4 linked regions of the Arabidopsis thaliana genome follow. The protein of the gene in region 1 interacts with the protein of each later gene in a pairwise test. Each region holds a gene or a part of one and is shown in the gene's direction. Other genes may lie near its edges.

Region 1 (4,310 bases):
GCTATTTGACTTCATAGTTGACCCGGCAATTACAGACGAAAATGTTGATAGCTATTTGGAAGAGGTAATGTATGACTTTTTATATGGATTGTCCATTGAATCAGTGGGCAGCTTTAAATTAATGAATTATGTAACAATGGGCAGGTCCAACGAAAAGTTATAGAGCGAGGAGAGATATCCGTAGAGGATGAAATCGCGGATTCAGTATTCATGAAGGTTAGTTAAGAGTGTATCCAGTTGTGTGAACTGATATGTGAAGTTGTCTGTAGAATAATCTTAATCTTACTGGTTTGTTATTGATGTTCAGTCATACATACCGAAATCTCTGGATGCTGTGAACAACCCTGAGGCTGACGTGGCTAAGATAACAAGCGGGCAGGACACAGGAGACATGCTATACCAAACGATAACGGGGCTTAAGGATGCTCTTCCTAAAATAGAAGAGCAGAAAATAGAGGTGAATGATGAAGAGAAAGAAGAGGAAGGAGAGGAAGAAGAAGACGGAGAAAGTGAAGAAGGAAGTGAGGAAGAAGAGAGTGAAGAAGAATTGGGTCATGAAGACAAGAAAGCTGCAAGGAAAGAGCACAAGAAGAAAGTGAAAGAGGAGAAACGAGAGTCTAGGAAGACGAAGACACCCAAATCTGTCAAGAAGCGAAAGAAGAAAGTCTCTAAACCACACAAGACTCGTTAATCCGAGTTAGAAGTTTTGACACCCCAACTTGTATTTTTATTTATATTTTGAAATTTTGTGTCAAATTCTGGGAAATCGAGTATGGACCCAAAGCTCTCTATATTTCCAAAAATAGCAAGTTCTTGTAATATTCATAGTATGACTTTATTATAGAGCCCGAAATTGGTTTGCTGCTGTTTCAAGAATAGGATTCAAATTTCTGTTCCTTTCCTCACATCCCTAACCAACTTGACAATTCGAATAATGGTTGTGTCTAAATTTATCAACTCAAGTTTTGAGATTGTTGGCTTATAGTATGAAAATTCTAATCCTGCAACTAGTTTATTTACAACATTTTTTCTTTGTTTAATGAGTTCTTGATTTTATACAGTTTAGTGTTTATGAGCTTTTCTTCTTAAGCCTCTGTTTCCATAGTTTATATCTTAATACGTGTTTTCTCTTTCTTTTGGAGCTTTGATTATCTCTTTTAAACTATGTTTTCGAAGATATCTTTGTTTTCTGCCGGTTTTGTAAGATCGGAAAATATATTTTTATTTTATAATATTAATAAAAAAGATGACAAAACAAAAAATAATGATTTTCTTTCAAACTTAATGAACATAAAAAAAAGGGAAACGAAATCTTATTTTGCCTAGCTGACATAATTAACTAATGCAACTAAATGTAGGTAGGATTAAGTAAACAAAAATATGAGACAAAATTAAACATGCCAACCTCCAGGGCATAGTCAATGGGTCAAGTCAAGCGAAAGTTGGTCTGGATCTTACAATGCAACTTAATGTAAAGTACTCATTTTTCTTCGACATGGGACATCCGCCGAAATTGTTGATTTTTGATCCATCTTTACACTTGTTTTCTCCGATTACAACAAAACATAACAATTCGACTACGATTTAACACCTAACCTTTTTAATTTTTTAGGACACGCATTTAGTATTTACGATGCAAGCCAACAAATTTAATCCAACGTATTAAACACAACTTGCTTTTTGTCAATACGTATTAAATTAAATAGTTTTCTTGCAATTTTTGTTTACACATTTCATTAGTATTGTTTTTTTCCAATATTTTTGTTTCTATGTTCAATCACTATCATATGCATAATACACATTATAATTTTGGCACAATTAGAATTACACACAAGGATTTTATAAATGTTTTTAAAATGATTTACAAAAGATTTTATAAAAATTTTACAAAAGTTTTTAAAAGATTTAATAAAAGTTTTAAAACGATTTTACAAAGAGTTTTAAAAACTTTTAAAGGTTTTAAAGAAAGTTTATGAGAATTTACAAGAATTGTAAAAGATTTATAATAATTTTTTTAGAATTAGAAAGGAGACCCTCATTTTCCACCCAAATCGTCAACCTTCTCATAATTGACAAGTTATTACACTCTCTCCACTTACTAGTTACTATAAAACCAAAGGAGACCAAATCTCTTAGCAATTATGAATTTGGTCTTCGCTATAATCTCACGTTACATTAAATTGGCTCCTGTGAACCTAAATTTATGGACTATGATCCCAACACCAATCCGTTCGACCTTCATTTCTCCGGTAAACTTCCGGTGAGTTTTTCAATTTCTTCGAAAATTTCACTTCAATTTTCGAGGTTGTGGTGATTATTCGTGGTGTTCATATATATTTTATTGCCTGATTTAGAAAAGAGAAGTCTCGGCTTCAGCTTCTAAAGTTGTAGAGAAGAAATGGTTAGTGAAAGATGAGGTTAGTTCTTTCATCGAACACTTTGGTGTGCAATACTTTGACCTCAAAATTTTTGACTATGAGTGAATGGATTAGGTTGATCAAGTTCTCATATCTGATTTAGACATTGAATAGTTTGTTTAGATCGGTGATGCTCAAAAGTTGAACAAATCAAAGCTTTGTCTTACAGCTTAGTTTGGTAATGGTGATTTTCATTTTACACAGAAGAGAAATATGCTACAAGATGAAATAAACCGGGTTAATTCGGAGAACAAGAAGCTAACCGAAATGTTAGCAAGAGTCTGTGAGAAGTACTATGCTCTTAATAATCTTATGGAGGAGTTGCAGAGTCGAAAGAGTCCTGAAAGTGTTAACTTTCAGAACAAACAGCTAACGGGGAAACGAAAACAAGAACTTGATGAGTTTGTTAGCTCCCCAATTGGACTCAGTCTCGGACCAATCGAGAACATCACCAACGATAAAGCGACGGTTTCAACCGCTTACTTTGCTGCTGAGAAGTCTGACACAAGCTTGGTAAGGAGATTTCTACTACAAGTATCGTTCTTTGAGTGTATTGATTTGTTAACGAATGTTTTGTGGATATACGTTACTTGTAGACTGTGAAAGATGGATATCAATGGAGGAAATACGGGCAAAAGATTACGAGAGATAATCCATCTCCTAGAGCTTACTTCAGATGCTCGTTTTCACCGTCTTGTCTAGTCAAGAAGAAGGTACTTTGGTTTAAACTTTGTTAAAGAGTTCTTCGATATCATCTTGCTGTCTGATTAAATTCCCTAGTTGTGTGTGCGCTTGTTTAGGTGCAACGAAGTGCAGAAGATCCATCTTTCTTGGTAGCCACTTACGAAGGGACACATAACCACACCGGACCACATGCAAGTGTGTCCAGGACAGTGAAACTTGATCTAGTTCAAGGTGGGCTTGAACCAGTTGAGGAAAAGAAAGAGAGAGGGACGATTCAAGAGGTTTTGGTGCAACAAATGGCTTCTTCGTTGACCAAAGATCCTAAGTTCACTGCAGCTCTTGCGACTGCTATTTCCGGGAGATTGATAGAGCATTCAAGAACATGAAAGTTCTCTAGAACATGTATATTTCTGTTTTGTTCTATTTTGTTGCTCATTCCTAGTAAAAAGGTAAAGATTTGTTTGATCTTGATTAGGAGGCATAGATGTCAATTTTAATGTGTGTGTATATAATTACATCAAATCTAAGTATCCAAAAAGGGTCACCCCCATTTTATCTTATGTTGAAAGAGTTTTGTTATAGCTCGGTGTAAGTATGGTAGATTGACGCTGCTTCGACAGTTTATGTATCTTCCAATGTTATCTTGTTCAGTTGTTTGTATTAACTTCCATTAGAGAAGAATGTGATGCCATTACAGACATAAAAGAAACAGAGAAACCCGGAAACAGAGTAAAACCACGAAAAACAGAGTCGGTTTAAGAGAACCAAACCAAAATAACCGGTACAGCTATAAAAAGCCAAGAAGAAAAATTATGAACCGAGTCCAAATTAGGTTACGGTTAGCTTCCAATCCCAACTTCTTCTTCTTCTTCATCTGTGTTTAGTCCCAAATTGAAGAATCAAAAGTTTCGTGTTTTGAGAATTTGACAAAAATTTGTTTATGTAATCTTAGTTTTCGCTGATTTTGAGTAAGTTATCGACATGGATATTGATGTCGGACCAGTTGATCCATCTGTCCTATACGAGCAAGACCTCCATGTTTCTTCTGCTGTTTGGGAAGGACAGGTTTTTTTCTTAATTCCCTTGCTAAATTTCAGATTTTGAATTTAGGGTTAATCTTATTTCCCCTTACTTACCTTAGGAACGAGGTCTACTTCGTTGTCAAGAACACACTTCATTGCTACATCAATGGAAACTCACTGATGAACA
Region 2 (4,095 bases), on another chromosome or scaffold:
ACCTGAATTAAGCAACGTATAATGAATAAACTTTCCATAAATACAAAAATACTCGATTAGTGGAGTGTGCATCGCCAACAAAAAAGATTCTACGCAACGTGTCGAATCAGTACTTGTTCCTGAGTTCCTCCGTCACTAACCAGTGCGGACCATGTCAGTATCCAAGCACCCACACGCTCGTCGTCTCTTGAAAACATCTCACACAAATACACAACGGCTCGGACTAATAACTTGCCATCTAAGAAAAGCTAATTGACCTAAGGCTTTGTGGCACCTGCATGTAAAAAGCAAACACGAATTTGCCACGTTATTACAAAGCATACCACGTCACCGTCTCACTGTTACACTATCTCTTGTTCTCCTTTATTTCGCTATGGACAACAAAAATTATAAGGTGGGGAAGAGATGTCTCAAAATACTTTTTTATCGTCCTCTCAATTTATGTAACTGATAATAATCGAAATAGATAAATTTAATTGTAGGTTGACAAAGCGCTAATTTTAATAAAAACATATATTAGTTTGGAAAATTTTGTCGTAGTAAGTAATTAAACCTATCAATCTTGACTAATAATTTCAAGTATCCCATAAAAATCAAAATTGTCCTTAGGTTTTGAAATTGTACTACTGATAGTACGTAATTAAACAAACAAAAGCTATAGCTTGTGGATTATAGCTAATCCCATTTGGCGATGAGAGTAATATATATATTGTTCAAATAAAGTTGTAATTAAGATTCGATTGAAAAGGTAAATTATAGTTTAAGAAAAACAAAGAGAGGAGACAACAATTAAAAAAATGAAAAGTGGAGAACTGTACTCTCGCCTATACGAGGAGGTCATTATCTCCAAGGCTCTCAAGGATTAAGGACCATGCTTTGATTCTATAAATGTTGTTTTATTCAAACTATTTATATTATTATATCATACGTAATATGTGGTTAGCATTTGACCCACGTCCCCTTAATTAAGTCTAGATTAATCCCATTAATCTATCCAATTAATAATTAGGAAAATTTTATATAAGATTGCTATTGGATTTCTCGGTGGTGGTTTAAACTATAAAATAGTAATGCCTTTGATGCGTGTGATTTTTTATTGGAACTTATTGGTTTTAATTCTTAACCTAGCAATTATATTTGTAGTAGTTTATGTTAATCATTGTTTAATAATACTCCTATAATAACTCTTGCAAGTAGCAACACTTGTGTGGCTATTTATTCCAGAGTCCATGGATATGTATGTATAAGAAAATAGGAGTGCTTTTGCAGATTGAAGAGTTTGTCTATAAAATCATGTTTACTTGGCATTTAGTGTTATTGTTTGCAATTTTTTATTTTAAATTAGTCGGATATTTTAAGTTAAAATCTGAATACACAGCATGTTCCTTCTAACGTTTTTTAACATAATTGTAAACTAAAGAAAAATTATAATATAATAAATTAAATTATACCCTCTCTATTCATTGTAGAAGATTTGTTTGTTTCACCAAATGTGTTTTTTTTTTATAAGTTGCTCTCACTCTTGAGAGTTTTGGAGTATTTTGAAGAGGACGAGGTTCTTTTGTGAAAAAGTGAAAGAAACAAATCATGTCAAGAATTAGAAAGAAATCATGACAAATAATTTTGTTTGTGCAGAAATTACAAATGAATCATAGATATCCTTCTAATTCGGGATCGGAAACCAGTTGAAAAATCGATGGACTAAGCTTTCTATATTGGGACTAGCTTACCCTTAGAATTAGTCAAGCAGCTTAAATCATCTATGACTTAAAATTATAATTAAGAAAAAACAATGCCTAAATATGCATATATTTCAAATGTATCACATAACTTGTGACATAAGAAAATATAAACAAAACAAAAAGGGCAAAAAAGACCTGAAAGCTTAGAGGCACACCTGCATAGGTCCCACAGTTCACTCGTGACACCGTAAAAGGCAAAACACGAACCCGCCACGTTATCACAAAAAGCAAGCCACGTCAATATAGTCTCACTGTCAACTACACTTAACTTACTATTTTCACATCTCATTTTCCTATCTTTATATAAACCCTCCAGGCTCCTCTTTAATTTCTTTACCACCACCAACAACAAACATATAAACCATAAGGAAAACAGAGAAAGAGAGAGATGGAGGACGACAATAGTAACAACAACAACAACAACAACGTGATCGCACCTTTCATCGTGAAAACATATCAGATGGTCAATGATCCTTCCACCGATTGGCTCATCACTTGGGGACCTGCTCACAACAGTTTCATAGTCGTTGATCCACTCGACTTCTCGCAACGAATCTTACCTGCTTATTTCAAACACAACAATTTCAGCAGTTTTGTTCGTCAACTCAACACCTATGTAAGTTAATTCATAACCGAAACTCATACATGAAACTGGAAACAGGGGATTACGAACTAATGATCCTTTCTTTATTTACTTTAGGGGTTTAGGAAAGTGGATCCGGACCGGTGGGAGTTTGCGAACGAGCATTTTCTAAGGGGACAGAAGCATTTGTTGAATAACATAGCGCGTAGGAAACACGCGCGGGGGATGTACGGTCAAGATTTGGAGGACGGTGAGATTGTGAGGGAGATCGAACGGTTAAAAGAAGAGCAGAGGGAGCTAGAGGCAGAGATTCAGAGGATGAACCGGAGGATCGAAGCGACGGAGAAGAGACCGGAGCAGATGATGGCGTTTCTTTACAAAGTCGTTGAAGATCCTGATCTTCTTCCAAGAATGATGCTCGAGAAAGAACGGACAAAGCAACAACAACAAGTTTCCGACAAGAAGAAGCGTCGTGTCACGATGTCGACGGTGAAGTCAGAGGAAGAAGAAGTGGAAGAAGATGAAGGGAGGGTCTTTAGGGTTATGTCATCATCAACACCGTCGCCGTCATCAACGGAGAATCTTTACCGGAATCATTCACCGGATGGGTGGATTGTTCCTATGACGCAAGGACAGTTTGGTAGTTACGAGACGGGTTTGGTGGCGAAGTCGATGCTCTCGAATTCAACGTCGTCGACGTCATCATCTTTGACGTCGACGTTTTCTTTGCCGGAGAGTGTTAACGGAGGAGGAGGAGGAGGATGTGGGAGTATTCAGGGAGAAAGAAGGTATAAAGAAACGGCGACGTTTGGAGGAGTGGTAGAGTCAAATCCACCAACAACACCGCCTTATCCATTTTCTCTGTTTCGAGGTGGCTTTTAGCGTTTAGCTTCACATGATATATGATCTTTAGACTTTATTATTGTTATATTATTATTATTATTTATTTTTTGTGTGTTTGTTCTTAATTATTTTATGTATAACCAAAAGAAAGAAAGAAAATAAGGACAGATCCATAGTTGAGTCAGTAGTCATCGTTTGTAGAAAGTTTTGACAGTATATAATTTCTGATTATATTTGTTAAAAGTTCATATGTTGACTTTGTTTTCCTTTTAAAAGTACTTTCAGGTGACTTGTGTAATATATTCACACTTGTAATAACAACAATTTTGATCTTCTTCACTACTTCAGTGTTTTGATTTTTGAATAAAGTATTATTGTAGCCTTATATCTTTGTAATAACAACAAAATATAGGCTTTACTTTTTCCACTTTAAGCTAGTAATTAAGTCTATATACCATTTCAAATTTATCGTTAATGGCCATCTTTAAACTAAACCATATCGAGTATTTGACTCTTTCTCTTGAAACACTTGTTCTCAAACACATTAACGAATCAGTTGACATGGTATATAGACTTACTAGCTTATATAACCCACATGCTTAAAGCTGATCATAAAGTAGAAGAAACATTGCCTATATATAACCCACGTGGTTAAGGCGACACAAGTCGGTCGACTGATAACAAGTCAACGAGACATCCATTCAAGATTCAAACGTATCATCAACACGACGCTCCACTTTCACTTTCATCTAAAATTGATAACATGACATTGTTAAATTTTGAGACGTGACAGTTAGCCACGGGACTTTGGTCGGCCAACAACGTTTCGAACACTCATTGGGCTAGAGAGAGAGAGAGTATAAAACAACGATAAATCTAAATTGGACCACCTGATGTCTCTCACACGAGGACGCGTGGTTATACCAG
Region 3 (3,704 bases), on another chromosome or scaffold:
GTTTGTCTTTAAGACTTGTTATATTTCTTACAATATGTTTGTTATGTTCTCTGGTGTGTGTTTTGTTTTTTTTGGTATTACTTTCATATTTTTTTGGTCGAAGAGGACTTGTATTCGACAATGTCGCTTCAATTTTGTTGTTTCCTTAGAAACTAAATAAATATTGGTTTATATTGGAGTAAAATGTGTTTGTACTTTGTAGTTAATCGTTGAAAGTTTTGCCACTTATTGAGCTTTGTCTGCGAGAGTTGACTCGGAAGAATATTTGCACATTGTTCATAGAGAATCACATGATATCTCTTCTCTGGTGGATTAGGAACCAAACGCATCTTGTAAAAGTTTCCAGGTTGGAGATTCTGATTTCTGAGTGACACCTAACGATTCCATATTTAAAGCTTTATGTTTTTGTATGTCTCTCATTGCGATTGGTATTTTTTGTTTAAGTAAATATGCATAAATCCATTCGTAGAGGCATTCCTTACAGTACTAGTGACCACATATTAACCTTTTAGGTACGCACACCGAAGTTGGCTACATAACTTGGGTGAGTATTCCAATCTGTAATGTGAATAGTTTACCATATCACATATAGCTCTGATACCATAAAAAACTATATGTGAATAATATTAAAAATCTTATACACAAAATTTTCTTTTAAATGGTTAGTCTAATTGTAATTTAAAAATATCGAAATAATAAGTTGCAATTTTTTTTTTTTTTTTTTGGGTCTTTGAAAAGAAAATATAATGTCAAATACTTTAATTTTTCCAAGTAAATCGAAACATAAGATTGATATTTTTCTTTTATATAAGAAAATTAAATTAGATTTAATATTATTAAATGAGTGTTTCATATTATATTTTTCAGAAAAAGAGTTTTTATTAATTAACCAAATACCAATAATTTACTTAAAAACTTGTATTGAATCCAAATGTTTCCCAAAAAAAAAATATTTAATTGGGATTGACAAAAATAGCACCAACAAAATTTTTTCTTCCAAAAATAACAACTTTTTGAAAAATTTCACAAGTAGCTTTCAAAATTTTAATTAAATATTAAATATAAATAATTAATTTTATTTAAATAAATAAAAATAAAAATTTTCCGCTAAAAATTTTTCGTCAAATTTTCTGCCAAAACAATTCGGTAATAAATTTTCCCGCAAAAAAAATTTTCCGTCAAATTTTTCTTGTAAAAAAACTTGAGGAAGCTAACTACGACATTCGTGAGGATTTCACGGAATTCAGGAAAGATTTTACAAAAAAAATTTTCGTAAAATTCTTCCTGAATTTCGAAAAAGAAAAATTCGGGAATTCAGGAAAAATTCTACAAAATTCAGGAAGGGTTACAAAAGAAAAAAATTATAAATTTCGTGAAACCTTTCCTGAATTGCTTAAAATCTTTCCTATATTTTGTAAAAAAAATTCTGAATTTTTTTTTGTAGGTAAAATGTGGGCGGCGTAATTATTTTTGGTGGAAAAATTTTGACGGAAATTATTTTGTAGAAAAATATTGTTGAAAATTTTTGGTATGAATTTTTGTATTTTTTTAAATGTTAGTTGTAATAATTAAAAATTAAATAATTATTTGAGTGTTATTTATGTTCACAAAACTTTTGAATGGTATTTTTATCAAAAAAAACTTTAAAATTATGTTAATTATGAAAATTCTCTATTTAATTTTTTTCACCCAAATAAATAAATACATAAAAATGTCCAAATATTTGTGTGTTTCTCTTTTAATTATTGTTTCCCATTTAAAGTAAAAAAATCTGGTAGCAGCGTTACAATTCGCGAGAAAGACAAAACACAAGTTTCTTCTTCTTGGGATTGGCTATTTCCAGAAATCCAAGTCAATAATCAAAGTCCAAACAAAAAAATCCTCTCCCAATCTCCGCTTCACTCTTCTCATGGACGCTCTCATTGCTCAGCTTCAGAGACAATTTCGTGATTACACCATTTCTCTCTACCAACAGGTTTCAATTCCACAATTCTTCAAACCCAATTTCATCTCTTTGCTTAGCTAATTTAGCTCATATACACACTAGATTGACTCCTATATGCATAGATTCATGACAAAAGTGAAGAAAGATTGAATCTTTATGTAGATTTTTACAAGTTATGATTTTTAGGGATTTGAGTTGTGTAAAGGTTGGAACTTTAGATTCATGGGTTTGTGTTTTTTTTATGTGAAGGGGTTTTTGGATGATCAATTTACTGAGTTGAAAAAGCTACAAGATGATGGAAGTCCTGATTTTGTGTCTGAAGTGCTTTCACTTTTCTTTGAAGATTGTGTGAAGCTTATCAGTAACATGGCTAGAGCTTTGTAAGTTTTTGATATTCTCTCAGCTAGATCATCATTGCTTGTGTTGTCTTAAAGTGTGATTGTGGCTACTTCTATTTCAGGGACACGACAGGAACTGTAGATTTTAGTCAGGTAGGTGCTAGTGTGCATCAATTGAAGGGTAGTAGCTCAAGGTATGTATCATGTCTCGCTTTATATAAGTAGCAGAAGTTGTGTGTTGTTGATTGATGAAAAGCTTTGTGTTGTTTCTATGTAGTGTTGGTGCCAAGAGGGTCAAAACTTTGTGTGTTAGCTTCAAGGAATGTTGTGAAGCTAAGAACTACGAAGGGTAAGCGAGTTATGGTTTTCTCTTGGGACTCATTGGTTGAGTAATAATAGTCTCATGTTATGTTACAGGTGTGTGAGATGTTTGCAGCAAGTGGATATTGAGTACAAGGCGTTAAAGACAAAGCTTCAAGATATGTTCAATGTGAGTGTGAATAGAATCCATCTCTGTTTTTGGCTCTGCTTTTAATGAATCATTTTGGTTATGAGTAATGAACAAATCATTGACATTGTTGTTGTTGTTGTTGTTTCAGCTTGAGAAACAGATCATTCAAGCTGGTGGTATAGTTCCTCAAGTGGATATTAACTAAAGAGACTAGTCCATAAGAAGAAAAAAGATGATGACTTTCTTTCTTTAGTTTCTCTTCTAAATTATTTTGGATTTGGTGTTTGCTCAAAAACTCAATAAAATATGTGCAAAAAGAAACAAAAACAAGTGATGGTTGTTTATAAATCAGTAGTATGTATTGTTTGATCTCATCCGAGAAAATTGAAACCATTGGACTAATGAATGTGATGATAATATATATTGGTTTGCTTCTGAAAGGTTTGGTTTGAGTAAGATATAGTGATTACTAAGTAAGTCTTGACTAGTGGGTGCTTCTAAAAATTGTGTGTTTAGATCTTTTAGTTTCCCAAATTTGCCCATAATGTTTTCGTAATTATCTGAATTATTTGTCTCGAAGTTGACCTTTACTCAAATTAGTAAAAGTTTGGTAGTGACTTTCCAAATTTTTACAACCTGTCTCCTTATCAGAATATGAATATCGTAAACCCTAAAACCTAAATCTAAACCATTACCCATTCGATATCCGAAATGGACATTCTAAGAAAATATGGTAATTCTTTCAGGATAAATCACAAACCGCTTTCGACGAGATTACGGAGCATGTAGTTAATAAACGGGGAAAATGTCATTTAAATCATCACTTTACCATTTTCGTTGGTTTAAATCATGAACTTTGGATCTGGTGAATTAAATCTTTAATTTTATGTTGACTTTCAAATTAATCACAAATTCTTGTTGACTAAGCAAATTGAGACACAAATTCTTTTTTTCGATGTCGTCAATCGAC
Region 4 (4,226 bases), on another chromosome or scaffold:
TAGATCTCAAGTTTAAACATATGTATCAGTCTCTTTGATGGGAGACCAAAATCTCTTAATAGAGTTGTCTTTGCTTTCGTTTTCATTCGTTTATAGAGGAAGAAATAAGGTGACTGTGACCATTTGTATAACAATATGGATAAACTATTTTTAGTGGCATACTCTCGACTATAAGAAAAGATGCATCCAAGGAATATCAAATCTTCTTGATCAAAAGGTTATAACTTATAAAGAATGGACTAATATATATTTTAATTTGATCATATCTTAAGACTTACACCAAATCCAATTATTTTTTTTATAGAATATGAAAACATAAATAAACATCATTACTTGCCTCAGAAAAATAAAAGTAAAAAATAAAAATAAACATCATTATTAGAGATCATAAAAAAAATAATTTGCAGGGTATTCAGTGTGATCAATGATTTCGACAGATTTCAAGATCAATAATTTGTAGTTGGCTTCATTTGTTTGTAAACACATTTTGGAGGTGGTGATAAAACACATTCTTAGTGATGAAATAGATAAATACATTTCTAAATAGATGTAAATCAAATGATGGTTTGACTGGTTTGCATATAAAACATTTTCTAGAAGAAGTTATTAATCATATTTTAAACAAGAATTGTAATCATATACCATTCCCTCTCTCAAATTTGTTTTGAGCTTTTGTTAAAGTATGTATCTGTCTCTTTGATGGGAGACCAAATCAAATCTCATAATAGCGTTGTATGCTTTCGTTTTAATTCGTTTATAGAGGAAGAAATAAGGTGACAGTGTAGACCAATATGGTTAAGCTATTTTTAGTGGCATACTCTCGACTATGCATCCAAGGAAAATCAATCTTCTTGAACAAAAAGTTTATAACTTACAACTTATAAGAATGGACTAATATATCTTAAGACTTACACCAAATCCAATTACTTTGATAGAATATGAAAACATAAATGAACATCATTATTTGCCCAAAGAAAAATAAACATCATTATTAGAAATCATAGAAAAAATAATCCGGAGGGTATTTGGTGTGATCAATGATTTCGACAGATTTTAAAACCTTTTTTATTTTCTCCAGTAACTTATCTTGATCAATATTTTCTCCCTTCACTGCAAATACGTCGTCCATGATACCACAACTTATGACATCAACTCCTAATATAATAATAAAAAGATGACAATCATTCACATTGTTCAAAATTCGTTTGTTGAATATAATTGTTGGGTGTGTGTAGGTTTGTACCTGGAAAACCACCTGCAATTTTGAATCCTTTTCGCCATTTTTTTTCGGGATATCCTGGATGCTTGAATACAATCGTCATCGACTACAAACAATGAAATAAAACTAAAGCTTTAGTGAATTTATTATATAACCACATAAATAGGTTTACTAAGAAAAATAACTAACCATTTTTTGAAAAACTCAAAAGTTTGGAAGGAGAAGAGAAGATGATGGACAAGAATGTGATTACAAACTCGCTTGCTCATCAACCTCTATATATATTACTGAAAATTGATTTTTTTTGTTAAATAATCTATAAAAGTACATTTATCTCTCAATTTCACAATCTCTTTCGACATATGTCACAATTTCTCATAACAAATTTTTGACACAAAAATAGATTTATCTTCTTTTTTTTTTTGTTGAAACAACACAAAAATACATTTATCTCTCAAAGATTTTTTTGTTACAATATGGAGCAAATAAATTAATTAAACTGGAAATTATTTTAACAAGATAATATATGTAATTAATAAAAATATATGTTAATTTATAGAATTAACTAATCTGATAAAAATATATAAAGTAATCAAAGTTATAGTAAAAAAAAAAAAAAAATCAAAGTTATAGTAAATAATATTTAAACGTATGTCACAAAATTTACAAGATATAAACTTTTCAAAAAAGAGAGGATAAACCATCGTAAATATAAATACAACGAGTGTAAGTATTGGTTAATAAAATATTAAATATAGTTATCATCAAATAATTTGATAAACCCCCAATTCTTAATTCAATTCGACAAGATCATTTTGAGTTTCTCAGTCTCCGATACTGCCCAAACTTAAGGCCCATATTTAATGAACTCATTATAGGCCCAAAACAAAGCATATAAAGTCATCGTCTTCTCTAGTCCTGCGAAAACCCTAGTTTTTTGCTCTCTCGAAGTTCCGTGCGACTCTCTGCTCGAGCAAGATCTCCTACCGATACAATGGTAACACACAAGCTCTGCTTTTGATCTATTTCTCTATTCTCATCATATTCTCCGGTGTCTCAGAATGTTGTTTCGTTGAATTTTGACCATTTTCTTCTTCCTTCTTGCTCTCAGATTATCTCAGAGGCTAACCGCAAAGAAATCTGCAAGTACCTCTTCAAAGGTTCGTTCTTCTTAAATTTGTTCTTAGATCTCTGTTTTCTTCAGCTTCTGTGAGTAAATTGATTCATTTTTAGGCTTATGCCGATGAACATTGTGATTTTTGAACTAGTTTAGGTTAACTAGTTATGGTAGCAATTATGATGTTTGGCTTAGAAGGTGAACATTGTGTTGATTATCATATGTTCTATGATTTTTGCAGAAGGAGTTTGCTTTGCGAAGAAGGATTTCAATCTTGCTAAGCATCCGTTGATCGATGTCCCCAACCTACAAGTGATTAAGCTTATGCAGAGTTTCAAATCCAAGGAGTATGTTAGGGAGACATTTGCCTGGATGCATTACTATTGGTTTTTGACCAATGAAGGGATCGAGTTCTTGAGAACTTATCTTAATCTTCCATCTGATGTTGTTCCTGCTACTTTGAAGAAGTCAGCTAAGCCTGGTGGTCGTCCATTTGGTGGCCCACCTGGTGATCGCTCAAGGTGATTAACTCTTTGCTTAACCCATTTCATGTCTGGCAAAAACTTTTTTTTTTTTTAATTTGTTTGACATGGTTTGGGTTTCTTTGTATTTCAGAGGACCTCGCCATGAAGGAGGAGACCGTCCCAGGTTTGGTGACCGTGATGGGTACCGTGCAGGTCCTCGAGCTGGTGGTGAGTTTGGAGGTGAAAAGGGTGGAGCTCCCGCAGATTACCAGCCATCTTTCCAAGTAAATTCTCACTGACCATACCTTCTATTTACTTCTCTATCTCACCAACGTCATATAATGTGCTACTCTTGAAGTCTTTATCATAGAGCTCCTGAACCTGAGAAACCATGAACATATTTAGTCTCTCTTTATCACTTTAGTTACAAGGAACATAAATCTTTTACTTTAGCTGTGAAGTGTTTCAAAGTCTATAGTTATATAATTGCCTTGTGATTTGATTTACCCGCCTTCTCTTTGTTTGGTTGCCATTGTTCTAACATCCTTTCTTGTTTATCAGGGAAGTGGCCGTGGTTTTGGCCGTGGTGCTGGTGGCTACAGCGCAGCTGCACCATCTGGTTCAGGTTTGCCTTGAAAAAGAAATGTCTTTAGGTGACAGTAAGACCATGGAGGAGTTTTCAGCTTTAAATTTTGCTTTTGTAATTCAGATTCCGGAATCCTTCATAATCTCTATCTGAGTTTAGTTTTGTTGTTGAATCAAACATCCGATTTAAAGTTATGTTCATTCCATCTTCTCTCCCCTTTTCGAGCATGCGAGAATATGATTCCCCCTATTGAACAAATCAATCAACCTTTAAGCGATAACAAATTGGTGTTGTGAAAATTATTAACTTCTTGATCTCGTTTTGTCAGATCTAAAATTACTATAGCCAAGCTACCTTTCACGTCAAGTTGTCACTCCTATCTATTCCAGTGATCTTAGGAAGTCTATCTTTTGGAAGTCAAGTTTTACTCTAGGGAACCAAAAGATTTGTTCAGAAACAAGAAAAGTTCCTTAGCTGAATAACAAAAACTTGAATCAGTATTAGACAGACCCACCACACGATATAACAGACCTGACACAAACCCAACCCTAGAAGTAGTCACAATGTTCAAGTAACTCTAAAGATATAAAAAAAAAGACAAAGACATTTTGGAAAATCTTAAAACTCAGAACAACTCGACATATTAGAAGTTTTCAGAACCATAAGAGCAATTTCTTCATCTCTTAGTCGACTTCCTCCATCTTGCTCTCTTCAGCAGCGTCCTCCTCCAACTCAGGCATATCACCATCTTCCTCAACGTTCTCATCCTCATCAATACTCAGACCCAACTTCAACATCCTGTGAATCCTAGCAGCAAAAGTGTTCGGTTCATCAAGACTG

Evidence for each region.
Region 2: the proteins of WRKY60 (region 1) and HSFC1 interact in binary tests that used the Arabidopsis thaliana proteins (3 or more experiments, as listed by UniProt).
Region 3: the proteins of WRKY60 (region 1) and AHP2 interact in binary tests that used the Arabidopsis thaliana proteins (3 or more experiments, as listed by UniProt).
Region 4: the proteins of WRKY60 (region 1) and AT5G52650 interact in binary tests that used the Arabidopsis thaliana proteins (3 or more experiments, as listed by UniProt).

What each region holds. Positions count from the first base shown.
Region 1 is NC_003071.7:10,627,609-10,631,918, forward strand, and holds WRKY60 (WRKY DNA-binding protein 60), read left to right. Parts: upstream 1-2,053; 5' UTR 2,054-2,203; coding exon 2,204-2,260; exon of another isoform or gene 2,261-2,354; coding exon 2,355-2,417; exon of another isoform or gene 2,418-2,621; coding exon 2,622-2,930; intron 2,931-3,013; coding exon 3,014-3,130; intron 3,131-3,217; coding exon 3,218-3,487; 3' UTR 3,488-3,805; downstream 3,806-4,310. Other genes in the region: AT2G24990 (Serine/threonine-protein kinase Rio1), read left to right, coding at 1-64, 145-216, 308-691; AT2G25010 (Aminotransferase-like, plant mobile domain family protein), read left to right, coding at 4,083-4,166, 4,243-4,310. UniProt on the Arabidopsis thaliana protein: Transcription factor. Interacts specifically with the W box (5'-(T)TGAC[CT]-3'), a frequently occurring elicitor-responsive cis-acting element.
Region 2 is NC_003074.8:8,939,325-8,943,419, forward strand, and holds HSFC1 (heat shock transcription factor C1), read left to right. Parts: upstream 1-1,741; 5' UTR 1,742-2,130; coding exon 2,131-2,358; intron 2,359-2,387; exon of another isoform or gene 2,388-2,442; coding exon 2,443-3,207; 3' UTR 3,208-3,550; downstream 3,551-4,095. UniProt on the Arabidopsis thaliana protein: Transcriptional regulator that specifically binds DNA sequence 5'-AGAAnnTTCT-3' known as heat shock promoter elements (HSE).
Region 3 is NC_003074.8:11,263,614-11,267,317, reverse strand, and holds AHP2 (histidine-containing phosphotransmitter 2), read left to right. Parts: upstream 1-1,755; 5' UTR 1,756-1,909; coding exon 1,910-1,975; intron 1,976-2,194; coding exon 2,195-2,325; intron 2,326-2,405; coding exon 2,406-2,477; intron 2,478-2,560; coding exon 2,561-2,632; coding exon of another isoform or gene 2,633-2,636; exon of another isoform or gene 2,637-2,687; intron 2,688-2,700; coding exon 2,701-2,773; intron 2,774-2,882; coding exon 2,883-2,939; 3' UTR 2,940-3,192; downstream 3,193-3,704. UniProt on the Arabidopsis thaliana protein: Functions as a two-component phosphorelay mediators between cytokinin sensor histidine kinases and response regulator (B-type ARRs). Plays an important role in propagating cytokinin signal transduction through the multistep His-to-Asp phosphorelay.
Region 4 is NC_003076.8:21,354,991-21,359,216, reverse strand, and holds AT5G52650 (RNA binding Plectin/S10 domain-containing protein), read left to right. Parts: upstream 1-1,997; 5' UTR 1,998-2,213; coding exon 2,214-2,216; intron 2,217-2,330; coding exon 2,331-2,379; intron 2,380-2,577; coding exon 2,578-2,857; intron 2,858-2,951; coding exon 2,952-3,084; intron 3,085-3,361; coding exon 3,362-3,436; 3' UTR 3,437-3,676; downstream 3,677-4,226. Other genes in the region: AT5G52655 (uncharacterized protein), read right to left, coding at 992-1,155, 1,244-1,325, 1,409-1,411; HSP90.1 (heat shock-like protein), read right to left, coding at 4,070-4,226.